Linked DNA regions of Oryctolagus cuniculus. The protein of the gene in region 1 interacts with the protein of each later gene in a biochemical or structural test. Links are inferred from orthologs where the notes say so. Each region holds a gene or a part of one and is shown in the gene's direction. Other genes may lie near its edges. The genes, in order: EHMT2, LIG1 and CBX1.

Region 1 (3,472 bases):
AGGCACAGCCAGCGGGAGTCGGGGCTGGGGTTGGGTGCAGCCAGATTCTCACCCATGTGCGTGTCTCCCTCAGGAGGAGGATGGCTCCACCTGCCTCCACCATGCAGCCAAAATTGGGAACCTGGAGATGGTCAGTCTGCTGCTCAGCACGGGACAGGTGGACGTCAATGCCCAGGTCAGCGGCCTGAGCTGCCCGTCCCGCCCGGGCGCCTGGCCTCAGCAGGGGCCTTTGGGCCCCCGTTCACTCTGTGTCAGGCTGCCTGGGTCTGTGCCGTCTCTTCCTCTGCATTTCTCTTCACCCTTTTTCTTGCTTTCTTCCTCTTTATCTTTTTTTTTAATTAATTAATGTATTTATTTGAAAGGCAGAGATACAGAGGCAGAGGCAGAAGGAGAGAGAGAGAGGTCTTCCATCCACTAGTTCACTCCCCAAATGGTCTCAATGACCAGAGCTGGGCTGATCTGAAGCCAGGAGCCAGGAGCTTCCTCCAGGTTTCCCACATGGGTTCGGGGGCCCATGCACTTGGGCCTTCACCCACTGCTTTCCCAGACCATAGCAGAGAGCTGTATGGGAAATGGAGCAGCCAGGTCTCGAACCAGCACCCATATGGGATGCCGGCACTGCAGGTGGTGGCTTTACCCACTATGCCCCAGGGCTGGCCCCCTCTTTATCTGTTTTTAGAATGAGTTCCTGCCTTAACTTCTTTTGTTTTCATTATTTACGGAATACTTTATTAGTTCTGTAATCAAACCCATGTAGATAAGACCTTACATATTTAATACAGTGCGTTATCCCTGTACAAATGGGAAAAAAATTAACATTTCTAGACCAATGTGGCTGTTAGTTTCTGTACAGTGCTAAGTCAACACGGTAAACTGAGATACTGTTCTCAAAGTTGACAGCACAGCTGCAGTTTCTAAAAATTAAATTACATTTATGTATATATATAATTATATTTCTGTAAAAAGACCAGTAATAGCAGAGTGTTTTGTATCAATAGCAGAAACAGCTTTTCCAGTTTCTGCAGTCATTTGAACCAAATTATAGGGACATCTAGCACACTCCATTTAAAAAACTAAAACAAAAACCCCTCAAACAGCAAAGTCCTGTTACTGTTGTGGTACCTGGCACCGTTTTTTTTTTATTAGCTTCTCAGTCATCATCGGGAAAGAAAGCATTCTAGAATAACATCATTAAAAACAGCTCTGATAAAGCACGGTCACTACGACGTGTCGTGAAGCAGGTACAAGATGCTTTGCGCTCCCAGAGGTATGCTCCAGCACCGTCTACACCTGCAGCACTAGAGGGTCCGATTCAGGAGCGTTGGCGAGCTCCCTGCTGCTCTCCGGCAGAGCTGCCTAACTCCCAAGGCGTCCAGTGTGACTCTTAGTAACTGCCGGCGGAGGTGTTTCTGTTTTATTCTCATTCTTGCCGGCCTCGGAATCGCGCTGCCTCTGTCCAGGACTGGGCTCTCGAGGTGGGCTTCTGTGGCCTTTGACCTGACCTCTGCCCTCTCCGCAGCTTTCCTGCCCCAGACTCCGTTTTGCTAAGAAACTTGGGTTCCTTGACCTGGGGAGTATTTTATAGGAAACACAGCCCGGGTTCTGACTCCTAGACTTTTGAGCAGGCAGACTTAGCAAATGCTTTTTTTTTTTTTTTTTTTTTTTTTAAAGGAAAGCACTCGCTTCGTTGCCTCTGCAACCTTGGATAGTAGTCAGGGTCCTACAGCTTGTGAGTGGTGGAGCTGGGACTCCCAGTCACTTGGGCGCCAGGGTCAGCCGCTCCCCACCCTCACTGGCTTCCCACCCGCAGGACAGCGGAGGGTGGACGCCCATCATCTGGGCTGCGGAGCACAAGCACATCGAGGTGATCCGCATGCTGCTGACACGGGGTGCCGACGTCACCCTCACTGACAACGTGAGTGACAGTTTGCTCAGGGTGGGAGGAGGCCAGGCGGAGGCTGGGCCCTGGGGCTCAGCGGCCTGCAGCCCAGCCCTCTCTCCACCCCACCACCTCCCCAGGAGGAAAACATCTGCTTGCACTGGGCCTCCTTCACCGGCAGCGCTGCCATCGCTGAGGTCCTCCTGAACGCCCGCTGTGACCTGCACGCCGTGAACTACCACGGGGACACGCCCCTGCACATCGCTGCCAGGGAGAGCTACCACGACTGTGTGCTGTGAGTCCCGCCCGCCCGGCCAGCCCCGCCCCCTCCGCCCCAGCCCCACCTACCCGCTAACCAACCGCCTGTCCTCGCCCCAGCCTGTTCCTGTCGCGCGGCGCCAACCCCGAGCTGCGCAACAAGGAGGGGGACACCGCGTGGGATCTGACCCCGGAGCGCTCCGACGTGTGGTTCGCGCTGCAGCTCAACCGCAAGCTCCGGCTCGGGGTGGGCAATCGCGCCATCCGCACGGAGAAGATCATCTGCCGGTGAGCCCCCGCCCCAGGCCCCGCTGCATCCTCAGAGCATCCCCAAAACCCTCCCCGTGCTACGTCGAATCCAACCGCTGCCCTAGCCTCCCTGTCCCCCACCCCAAGCTAGGACAGGCAAATGCATGCTTGGTTGACATAAGGATGCCCCTGCAATACTTGGGACATGCTTATGCTAAAGTGTCTTTGCTTGTTCACCTGAAATTCAAGGTTAACTGGGTGTCCTGCCTTTTATTGGGCAGACTTCTTCCCCACGGTTCTATCAAGCCGCCCCTGGCTCCCTGCCCTGGCCCGCAGCCCCGTCTCCCCCCTTCCCGTGCAGGGATGTGGCTCGAGGCTATGAGAACGTGCCTATTCCCTGTGTCAACGGCGTGGACGGGGAGCCCTGCCCTGAGGATTACAAGTACATCTCAGAGAACTGCGAGACGTCCACCATGAACATCGACCGCAACATCACGCACCTGCAGGTGAGCGGGGCCCAGGGGCCTCCCCGAGAGACCTGTGGGCTTTGCAGGCTGCGTCCAGCTGGGGGCGGTGCTGGGAGCCAGTTCTGGAGGTTGAGCTGGCCCTCTGCCTCCCCTTCCAGCACTGCACGTGTGTGGACGACTGCTCCAGCTCCAACTGCCTGTGCGGCCAGCTCAGCATACGATGCTGGTATGATAAGGTGCGTGCCCGCAGAGGCCCGGTCACTCCTGCGAAGGAGCTGGCCTCTACTGCCAACTCCCCAAGACCTTGCTTCTCACCTGCTGCCCCCTTGGGGGAAGTGACAGAGAGGGCGGGGCGAGGCCTGGGACAGTGCCAGGACTGTGCCAGGTATATGCAGATCAAGGGTGTGGCTCGTGCATTTCCTGTTCTCTGACCTCAGAGCCTGTGTGAGGCCTCCCCAGCCTCCCCGTCTCTGGGTTGGGGTCGGCAGTGGCTTTCTCCCTGGAGGCGTGGGGGTCCTGGGCAGCCGAGGTGCACCCCTACTGAAACCACTTTCCTCCCTTCCCTCTGCATCCCAGGATGGGCGGCTGCTCCAGGAATTTAACAAGATCGAGCCCCCCC
Region 2 (4,253 bases), on another chromosome or scaffold:
GATGAGCCGGTAGAGCGGCGGCGCGCTGGCCCAGGGGCTGCGCGCCACGTGCGTGGAGCTCTTGACAGAGAACACCACCAGCCGCTGCTGGCACCACGCGTCGAAGAAGCGGCTGAACTCGGCCCAGGAGAAGAAGGCCCGCTCCAGCAGCTCCTGCTCCTCCTGCCCCGCCGCCGCCGCTGCGCGGGGAGGGGGCTCCGGCAGCGGCTCCATCCTGGGGCCTGGGGGAGGGGGCGGGGAAGAGGCGCTGGGTGTCAGGCCCGGCCCCACCTGCTCGGTCCCCCTTCCCAAGCAGAGCCTTAACCCCTTATGTCCCGGCGTCCCCCGTGTTAGGACCCCTGGAAAGACCCAAGTGGAACAACGAATAAAGCCCTCAGGGTAACCTGGACGTGAGTGCTGTGTTGCTGAAATATTCTAACTGGAAACGGGTTCAGGAACGAGAACATCGCCCTAGATGTGTGTGGACTTCTAGCCAGGGCCCCCGCCCCCTGCACAACCGGAACTCCCCCCCCTCCGCCCGCTGTCACCTCCCGATGGGCCCCCAGCCCCAGGTTTATCCATGCACCTGCCGCGGCTCCGCCCCAGCTGTGGTCTCCCAGGCGCGGCTGCCGCCCCCAACTCCTCCACGGGCAACCCCTGCGGCTCCCGCTGCCCCAGGGCGCTCCCATCTCCAGGTGCGCGCCCCGCGGTCGGCCACGGAGCCTCTGCCTACAGGTGCGAGCCCCACTCGTGGCTCGTCCAACTCAAAAGTGTCACCGAGGTCCATCGCTGCTCCACCTCCTTCCGAGACGCGGCCCCCAGCTCCAGCGGCCGCCGCCGCCACCATCCCCCTCAACGTGCCTCTTCTTTCTAGACATGGCCCTCGGTCCTCGCGTGGGCTTCTTCACCCCCAGCCGCTGCCCCCACGCCCTCCCACCCGCTGCAGCTCGGGCCCGCCGGCTCCCGCTTCCCCAAGCCCTCTCAGCCCCGCTCGCCGCGGCCCCTCCCAGCCCCGCCGCCCCACCCAGCTGCGCCTCTCCGCTCCCCCAGATGTGCACCCTTCCCGCCCCCCCCACTCACCTACCCACCCCGGAGCGGCGTCCACTTCCCACAATGCCCCGCGCTGAAGCCCGGCCCGGCCCTTGCTCCCGGGATGCCCCGCGCTGCTTCTCGCCTCTCTTCCCGCCGTGCCTCGCGCGGCGGCTTCCCCCTCAACCTTCCTCTTACTCCGCCAGTCACCACCCCTGGGACACTCAGCTACACCACCCCTCATCTAGGGCGAGGCGAGGCGCGGGGCCGCTTCCCGACATGCTCTGCGGGAGGGCTCACCCCACTTCACCCCTTCTCAGGGCTCTCTAGTTCGGAAGACTACAACTCCCAGCGTCCTCCGGGCGGCGACGGCGGGCGGACCACGCCCCTCGGCTCCGCCCCCGCCCCCGCCCGCCGACGTCTCTGCGCGCGAATTCCGTGGCGCGAATTCGGGGCGGCGGGGCTGCGCGGAGCCGGGCCGACTGTGGTGCCGGGGATTTCGGCGCGCGGGGCCGGCGCCAGGCAAGTGGGGGCGGCCCGCGCGGGGGGCAGAGGTCGCTGGGGGCGGCGAGCGTGGGGGCCATGGCTCCGTCAGGTCGGGGCGTCTGTCGGGCAGCGGCCGCTGAGGACGCCTGAGGCGGCCGAGAGCGCGGGCGCGAGGGGAGAGCGCGCGCGAGGGGCCGCCGGCCGCGGGGCCGAGACAAGCCAGGCCGAGGCCCGGCAGTCAGCGGCCGCCGGCCGTGGGCTCGACCGCGGCGTCGGCGAAGAGGCCCGGAGGGGCGTGGGAGGCCCGGAGGGGGCGGGGCCGGGACAGCGTGGGGTGGGCGTGGGCAGTGGGACTTGGACACCGCCCAGGGGGCGGAGCTAGTGCGGCGCGCCGGCTGTCAGGGGTGGGCCGGGCTGGACGCAGGTGGGCACCGGGAGGGAGGTCAGTGGTCGAGTCCAGAGAAGGGCCTAGCGGAGGGCGCGGAGCCCGTGGGGCCAGACCCTGGGGAGGAGGCTAGAGGGGGCGGGCAGGGAGGCGGGGTCTTGACGTCCCCCGGGGAGGGGACGCTGGGAGGGTCGAGGGGGCGGGCAGTGCAGAGGGGAAGAGGGGCGTTGGGAGAGGGCCCTGGCATCTGATACCAGGGGAGAGCACGCAGCGGGGTTCGAGGGGTGGGTGGGAAGGTCCAGGCTGGGTGAGGCCTCCCTGGTTGCATTTTGTGCGGGGGTCCCCTGGGCGTTCCCAGCCTGCAGCGCTGACTCAGGGGCGGCGGGCTTAGACCTGAATCCAAGCTGCTTCTCCGAGCTGGGGCCTCGCCCTGGTGTGCTTCGTGGCCCGCCTGGTAGCCCTGATCCTGCCAGCTTCCTTCTGGTCCGTGGAAGGAAGAACTGCCTGCTCAGGGAGAGAGAACGGAACGTCGGATGTGGTTCCGGGAGCAGGCGGGCAGGGTGTGCACTGGGAGAAAGGCGGGCTCAGCCGTCCCCGCCTGTCACCCACGGACCGTTCACCAAAGACCCCGTAGGCTCCACTCCACAGCCTGCGGGCTTGGAAGATCCTGCTTATCAACCCTGAACTGTCATGGACGGATGTTTCTGCTACCCTAATTTGGGGTAAAAAGCATGTATTGGCCAATGCGTGCAGTACTAAGTACTGCTTAGGCCCTGCGGTCACGTCCCTGAATGAAATAGACAAAATCTGTACCTTCCAGGAACTCGGGTTTTAGCCCCACATTGCGCAATACGGTAGCCACTAGCCACGTGAGCTACTTAAATGTAAACTAATTAGAGCAAGAGACTTAGCTCCTGAGTCTCACAAGGTACATTTCACTTTTTTTTAATGGGAGGCATTTGATGCATGTATTTTTATTTTTTGATTTTTCTAGAGATTTATTTCTCATTTGAAAGGCAAAATTAGAGAAACAGAAGCAGAGAGAGAGAGGTGGGGGGCCTAGCATCAGCTGGTTCACTCCCCAGATGGCCAGCTGAGCTGGTCCAAAGCCAGGAGCTTCTTCCGGGTCTCCCACGCAGGTGCAGGGGCCCAAGGACTTGGGCCATCTTCCACTGCTTCCCCAGGCCATAGCAGAGAGCTGGATCAGAAGTGGAGCAGCTGGGACTCAAACCAGTGTCCATATGAGATGCTGGCCCTGCAGGAGGCGGCTTTACCTGCTACGCCACAGCGCCGGGCCCGCGTTTCACTTTTTTTGTGACTCAAGTTTCAGTTTTAAATTTTTAAGTTTTTTAAAATTTTCTTTTACTTGAAGGGCAGACAGCTATCTTCTGTCTGCTAATTTACTCCCCAAATGCCTACCACAGGCAGGAGTGAACCAGGCTGAAGCCAGTTGCCTGGACTCCATCCAGGTCTCCCACATGCATGGCAGGGACACAGGTACCCTAAGCCATCACCTGCCACCTCCCAGGGTAGAGTGTGCTTTGGCAGGAAGCTGAGCCAGAGTGGAGAGTGCATGGTGGGGTCCACGCCCCCCCACCACAGCCGCAGCCGGGGGGTCAGGAGGGGCTGCTTGTCCGTTAGTATTTGGGGGCAGAGCCGATGCCACTTGGTCCTGCGTGAGTTTGGGGTGTGAGAGAAGGCAGCGAGTCAGTGGGGATCCAGGGTTTGGGTTTGTTTTTTTTTTTTTAAATATGATGTACAGTAAAATACAGCCTTTGGTGTGAATGTTGAGTGGGAAACAGTCACATAAGCACCACAGTCAAGACTCCGTCCGTTACCCCCGGCAGACGCCCTGCCCTGTCTGCCAACAGCCTTCCCCGCAGCCACAGCAGTGTCTGCTCCGTAGCTGGTCTCGGTCGCTGTCGCTCTTACGGAAGCAAACCTCGCCGCCTCCCCGAGCTAGGCGCGCTGTGCTCACGCGCGCCGCCGTGTGTCCTCCCCGGGAAGCGCAGTCCTCTGAGCTTGCCGGCAGAGCTGCAGCACTCCTTGGCTCACAGGGTCTTGTGTGGACGCAGGGTTTCACTGGGAGTGGGGGGAGCAGTGTCCGGAGCCATGGGGTAGGTGAGAGACCACCAGACTGTTCCCAAGGGCAGTGCCGGCGCTGCTCTCCTCTTAGCAGAGCGAGAGTCCAGTATGGCCTGCCGTCTGAGCACGGCACGCTCTGAGGTCGAGTGGTTGGTGTTTGTTTCATATTGCAGTGTTGCTTACTTCATGTTTCTAGAACTTTCTGTATGAGTGCCCTTCGTTCTGCTTGCTTTTATCTGGGCTTGCAGAAGTTGTAAAGGAGAGAGAGCCAGTCTTCCCTGGTCTCCTA
Region 3 (3,644 bases), on another chromosome or scaffold:
CACAATGGCTGGGGCTGGTCCAAGCTGAAGCCAGGAGCCAGGAGCTCCTTCCAAGTCTTCCGCATGGATGGCAGGTGCCCAGGCGCTTGGGCCATCCTTCACTGCTTTTCCCAGCGATTAGCAAGGAGCTGGATTGGAAGTGGAGCAGCCTAACTTGCACCCATATGGGATGCTGGCCCATGTATATAAAAGTTTTTAAATGAATATGCAAGAATAAAAAAGTTTTATCAGTGCTAACTCTGTAGCTGAACATTTCAGAAAAGGTTTTTATATGTTGAAAATAGGCATAACATTATAAGTAGCATGCAGTATTAAAGTCCCCTCTGATCTCCATGATTTTCCAAACATTCAGATATTTATCTAACCCTAATGCCCATTTTATTTCTTTTACCATTTTAGCAGCGTCACCCTTTACACCAGAAAGCTGGCGGGCACCATGGGGAAAAAACAAAACAAGAAGAAAGTGGAGGAGGTGCTAGAAGAGGAGGAAGAGGAATATGTGGTGGAAAAAGTTCTTGACCGTCGAGTTGTAAAGGGCAAAGTGGAGTACCTCCTAAAGTGGAAAGGTTTCTCAGAGTAAGTTTCATTGACACAGGTGAATTTAGTCATCAAGTGTTTATTGGGAATCTAATGATACACAGCTGTGATAGATGCAGTAAAAAAATGAATCATGGCTTTCATGGTTTATGGTCTGACAAGAGTATGACCTACATGTATAGTGCGAAAAAGCAAGATAGGGATTTCTTTGCAAAGAAAATTGATTTTGTCCTGGGCAAAAAGTAGCTGTTCATTAATATTAATTCCTCTTGTCCTCCCTGTATTTATATCCTTTGTATAAGTATACTTACTTTGAAGGAACGTGACTTGCTGTACCTTGTGGTTGGTTTCAGTGAAGACAATACGTGGGAACCAGAAGAGAATCTGGATTGCCCTGACCTCATTGCTGAGTTTCTGCAGTCACAGAAAACAGCACATGAGACAGATAAGTCAGAGGGAGGCAAGCGCAAAGCTGATTCTGATTCTGAAGATAAGGGAGAAGAGAGCAAACCAAAGAAGAAGAAAGAAGAGGTAAGGCTTGAAATAAGGATTTTTCCTAGTCCAGAATTGATAGTACTGTCAAAGAAGCTTCTGAAGACCAAATAATTAAGTTTTGTTATGTCTCCTCAGATCTTAGCAAGCATTTCCTCTCAATCTCCTGTGAAACCCTATGATCTACCCTCATTATCCAGGCTTTAGGAATAACAAGTATAATACTTTTTGAGGACAGATATAAGGGCAAATGAAACGATTCCTGTAAATAGATAGCTTTAATCATTTGATTAAGCATATGATTTGTGGTAACAATTTTGATTTATCCAACACCTTAAGGTCAGTTGTCTTTTGAGGGTGAAGAGAAGTCCTGGAGAGACAGTCGTGGTAAACATTTAGTCTGCTGTTTGGAGTCTATTCCTTTTCATATATGGGAAACCTCAAGCATTCATACCTTGATGAATCACTCCAAAGGATTCCAAAAGGCCTGTTACTAGGAGCCAAAGTATCGATGATCTGTTAGCAAAAGGGTATGCAATTGCACTAAGCAGACATGGGAGTGACTCCAGTCTGGATGACAGTTCCACATAGATCAAACTGCTCTACCTATCTGGTTTTTACAGTCAGAAAAGCCACGAGGCTTTGCCCGGGGTTTGGAGCCGGAACGGATCATTGGAGCTACAGACTCAAGTGGAGAACTCATGTTCCTGATGAAATGGTGAGTCTGCAAGAAATCCCCATCTGTTCCATGCCAGAAGAAACGAGCTGGACCTTCGAAATTCCAGTTGCCCAAGTGTGAAATCTTTAAGATGACATAGTCCTTCGATAGTGACCCTCGGCCTGACTGCCACAATGAACTCATGAGTTACAGGTAGGGGCTCTTAGGATTCTTGATCTTTGCCTGGTTTTTTGAGGAGGTGGGAAAAAAATCCAAATTGTAGAGGGTGAGGGAAGAAATCACATTTCACTTTGTACATGATGAAAGAAAATATGAAATGTGACTGGACCACCCTCCCCTTTACCACCTCCTTAAAGATCTGGCTGGCTGCAGGATCACAGACTCTTCCCAGCGTTAGCAAAGAATTTTTGTAGCTCTTCCTTTGTCCTTGATCAATCCTTTCTAGTTTGTGTAAATTGTGCAATTCCAGGATAAGCCAGCAGGGGTCAGCAGGACCCCTTTCCTGTTCATGAGCATAGTGCAAGGCTGCCTTTTCCATTCATTCTAAGTGTAAATATGGTTTTAGTAATGCCCCATCAAACTACTTAATGAAGACATTTATCTTGAAAATCTTACAGTTTTTAAAGAGATTTATTTATGTATTAGAGGCAGAGAGCAAGAAGTCTTCCAACCACTGGTTCACTCCCCAAATGGCTTCAATGGCTAGAGCTGGGCTGATCCAAACCCAGGTGCCAGGAGCTTCTTCCGGGTCTCCCATGCAGGTGCAGGGGCCCAAGGATTTGGGGCATCATCTACTGCTTTCCTAGGCCATGGCAGAGAGCTGGATCAGAAATTGAGCAGCCAGGACTCGAACCAATGCCCATATGGGATGTCACACTGAAGGTGGTGGCTTTACCCACTACACCACAGTGCCATCCTCAAAATGTGTCGCTTATGGGAGATTTGATACCAGGAATTATTTAGCTAGAATGCATGTTCTCTGCATGTGATCATGTGAATTAAAGTAGTTTATATTACTTAAGACTACATTCCTTTGGTTGACTCACTACTACGTCTACAAATTAAGATTGAATGTTGGGGGGCCAGCGCTGTGTCATAGCAGGTAAAGCTGCCCGGCTGCTTCACTTCCGATCCAGCTTTTTGCTATGGCCTGGGAAAGCAGTAGAAGATGGCCCAGTCCTTGGGACCTCACACCCTCATGGAAGACCCAGAATAAGCTTCTGCCTCCTGGATCCTGGTTTCAGAAGGGCCCCGCTCCTGCCATTGCAGCCATTTGGGGATTGAACCAGAATATGGAAGACTGCTCTCTCCCTCTCTTCCTTCCTTCCTTCCTTCTTGCTTTCTTTTTACAGATTTATTTATTTATTTGAAAGAGCTACAGAGAGAAAGAAAGGCTCAGAGAGAGAGGTCTTCCAACTGCTGGTTCACTCCCCAGATGGCTGCAATGGCTGGAGCTGTACCATTCCAAAGCCAGGAGCTTCTTCCAGGTCTCCCATTCGGGTACAGAGGCCCAAGGATTTGGGCCATATTCCACTGCTATCCCAGGCCATAGCAGAGAGCCGGGTCAGAAGTGGAGCCTCCCTCTCTCTGCCTCCCCTCTCTAACTCTGCTTTTCCAAAAAAAAAAAAAAAAAAAAAAAAAAAGATTGAATAATGGAGTATAAAACTTTTTTAATGATTTCTTTTGGAGAGCGGAGGTATTGGCCCATTTCCAAAAACTGCCAGCATTCTGGTCAATGAGATGGAGTGAACTTAACTCAGGGTGTTGTACATTTGTCAACAAATGATAGCATGCTTCAGGTCCCCCATATCTGTTTTCTTTTTTTAAGATTTCGTTATTTATTTGAAAGTCAGAGTTACACAGAGAGAGGAGAGGCAGAGAGAGAGAGAAGTCTTCCATTCGATGGTTTACTCCCCAATTAGCCGCAACGGTCGGA

Evidence for each region.
Region 2: of the proteins of EHMT2 (region 1) and LIG1, one has a biochemical effect on the other in vitro, tested with the Homo sapiens proteins (3 studies listed by BioGRID). The link is inferred for Oryctolagus cuniculus from reciprocal best matches to the Homo sapiens genes EHMT2 and LIG1.
Region 3: the proteins of EHMT2 (region 1) and CBX1 form a complex in vitro, tested with the Homo sapiens proteins (2 studies listed by BioGRID). The link is inferred for Oryctolagus cuniculus from reciprocal best matches to the Homo sapiens genes EHMT2 and CBX1.

The regions. Positions count from the first base shown.
Region 1 is NC_091436.1:138,654,227-138,657,698, forward strand, and holds part of EHMT2 (histone-lysine N-methyltransferase EHMT2), read left to right. Parts: intron 1-73; coding exon 74-175; intron 176-1,810; coding exon 1,811-1,915; intron 1,916-2,019; coding exon 2,020-2,174; intron 2,175-2,257; coding exon 2,258-2,425; intron 2,426-2,747; coding exon 2,748-2,892; intron 2,893-3,011; coding exon 3,012-3,089; intron 3,090-3,429; coding exon 3,430-3,472. UniProt on the Homo sapiens protein: Histone methyltransferase that specifically mono- and dimethylates 'Lys-9' of histone H3 (H3K9me1 and H3K9me2, respectively) in euchromatin.
Region 2 is NC_091449.1:9,771,156-9,775,408, forward strand, and holds the start of LIG1 (DNA ligase 1), read left to right. Parts: upstream 1-1,397; 5' UTR 1,398-1,530; intron 1,531-4,253. Other genes in the region: uncharacterized protein ZSWIM9, read right to left, coding at 1-221, 1,060-1,252.
Region 3 is NC_091448.1:24,363,263-24,366,906, reverse strand, and holds part of CBX1 (chromobox protein homolog 1), read left to right. Parts: intron 1-399; coding exon 400-576; intron 577-890; coding exon 891-1,068; intron 1,069-1,652; coding exon 1,653-1,747; intron 1,748-3,644. UniProt on the Homo sapiens protein: Component of heterochromatin. Recognizes and binds histone H3 tails methylated at 'Lys-9', leading to epigenetic repression. Interaction with lamin B receptor (LBR) can contribute to the association of the heterochromatin with the inner nuclear membrane.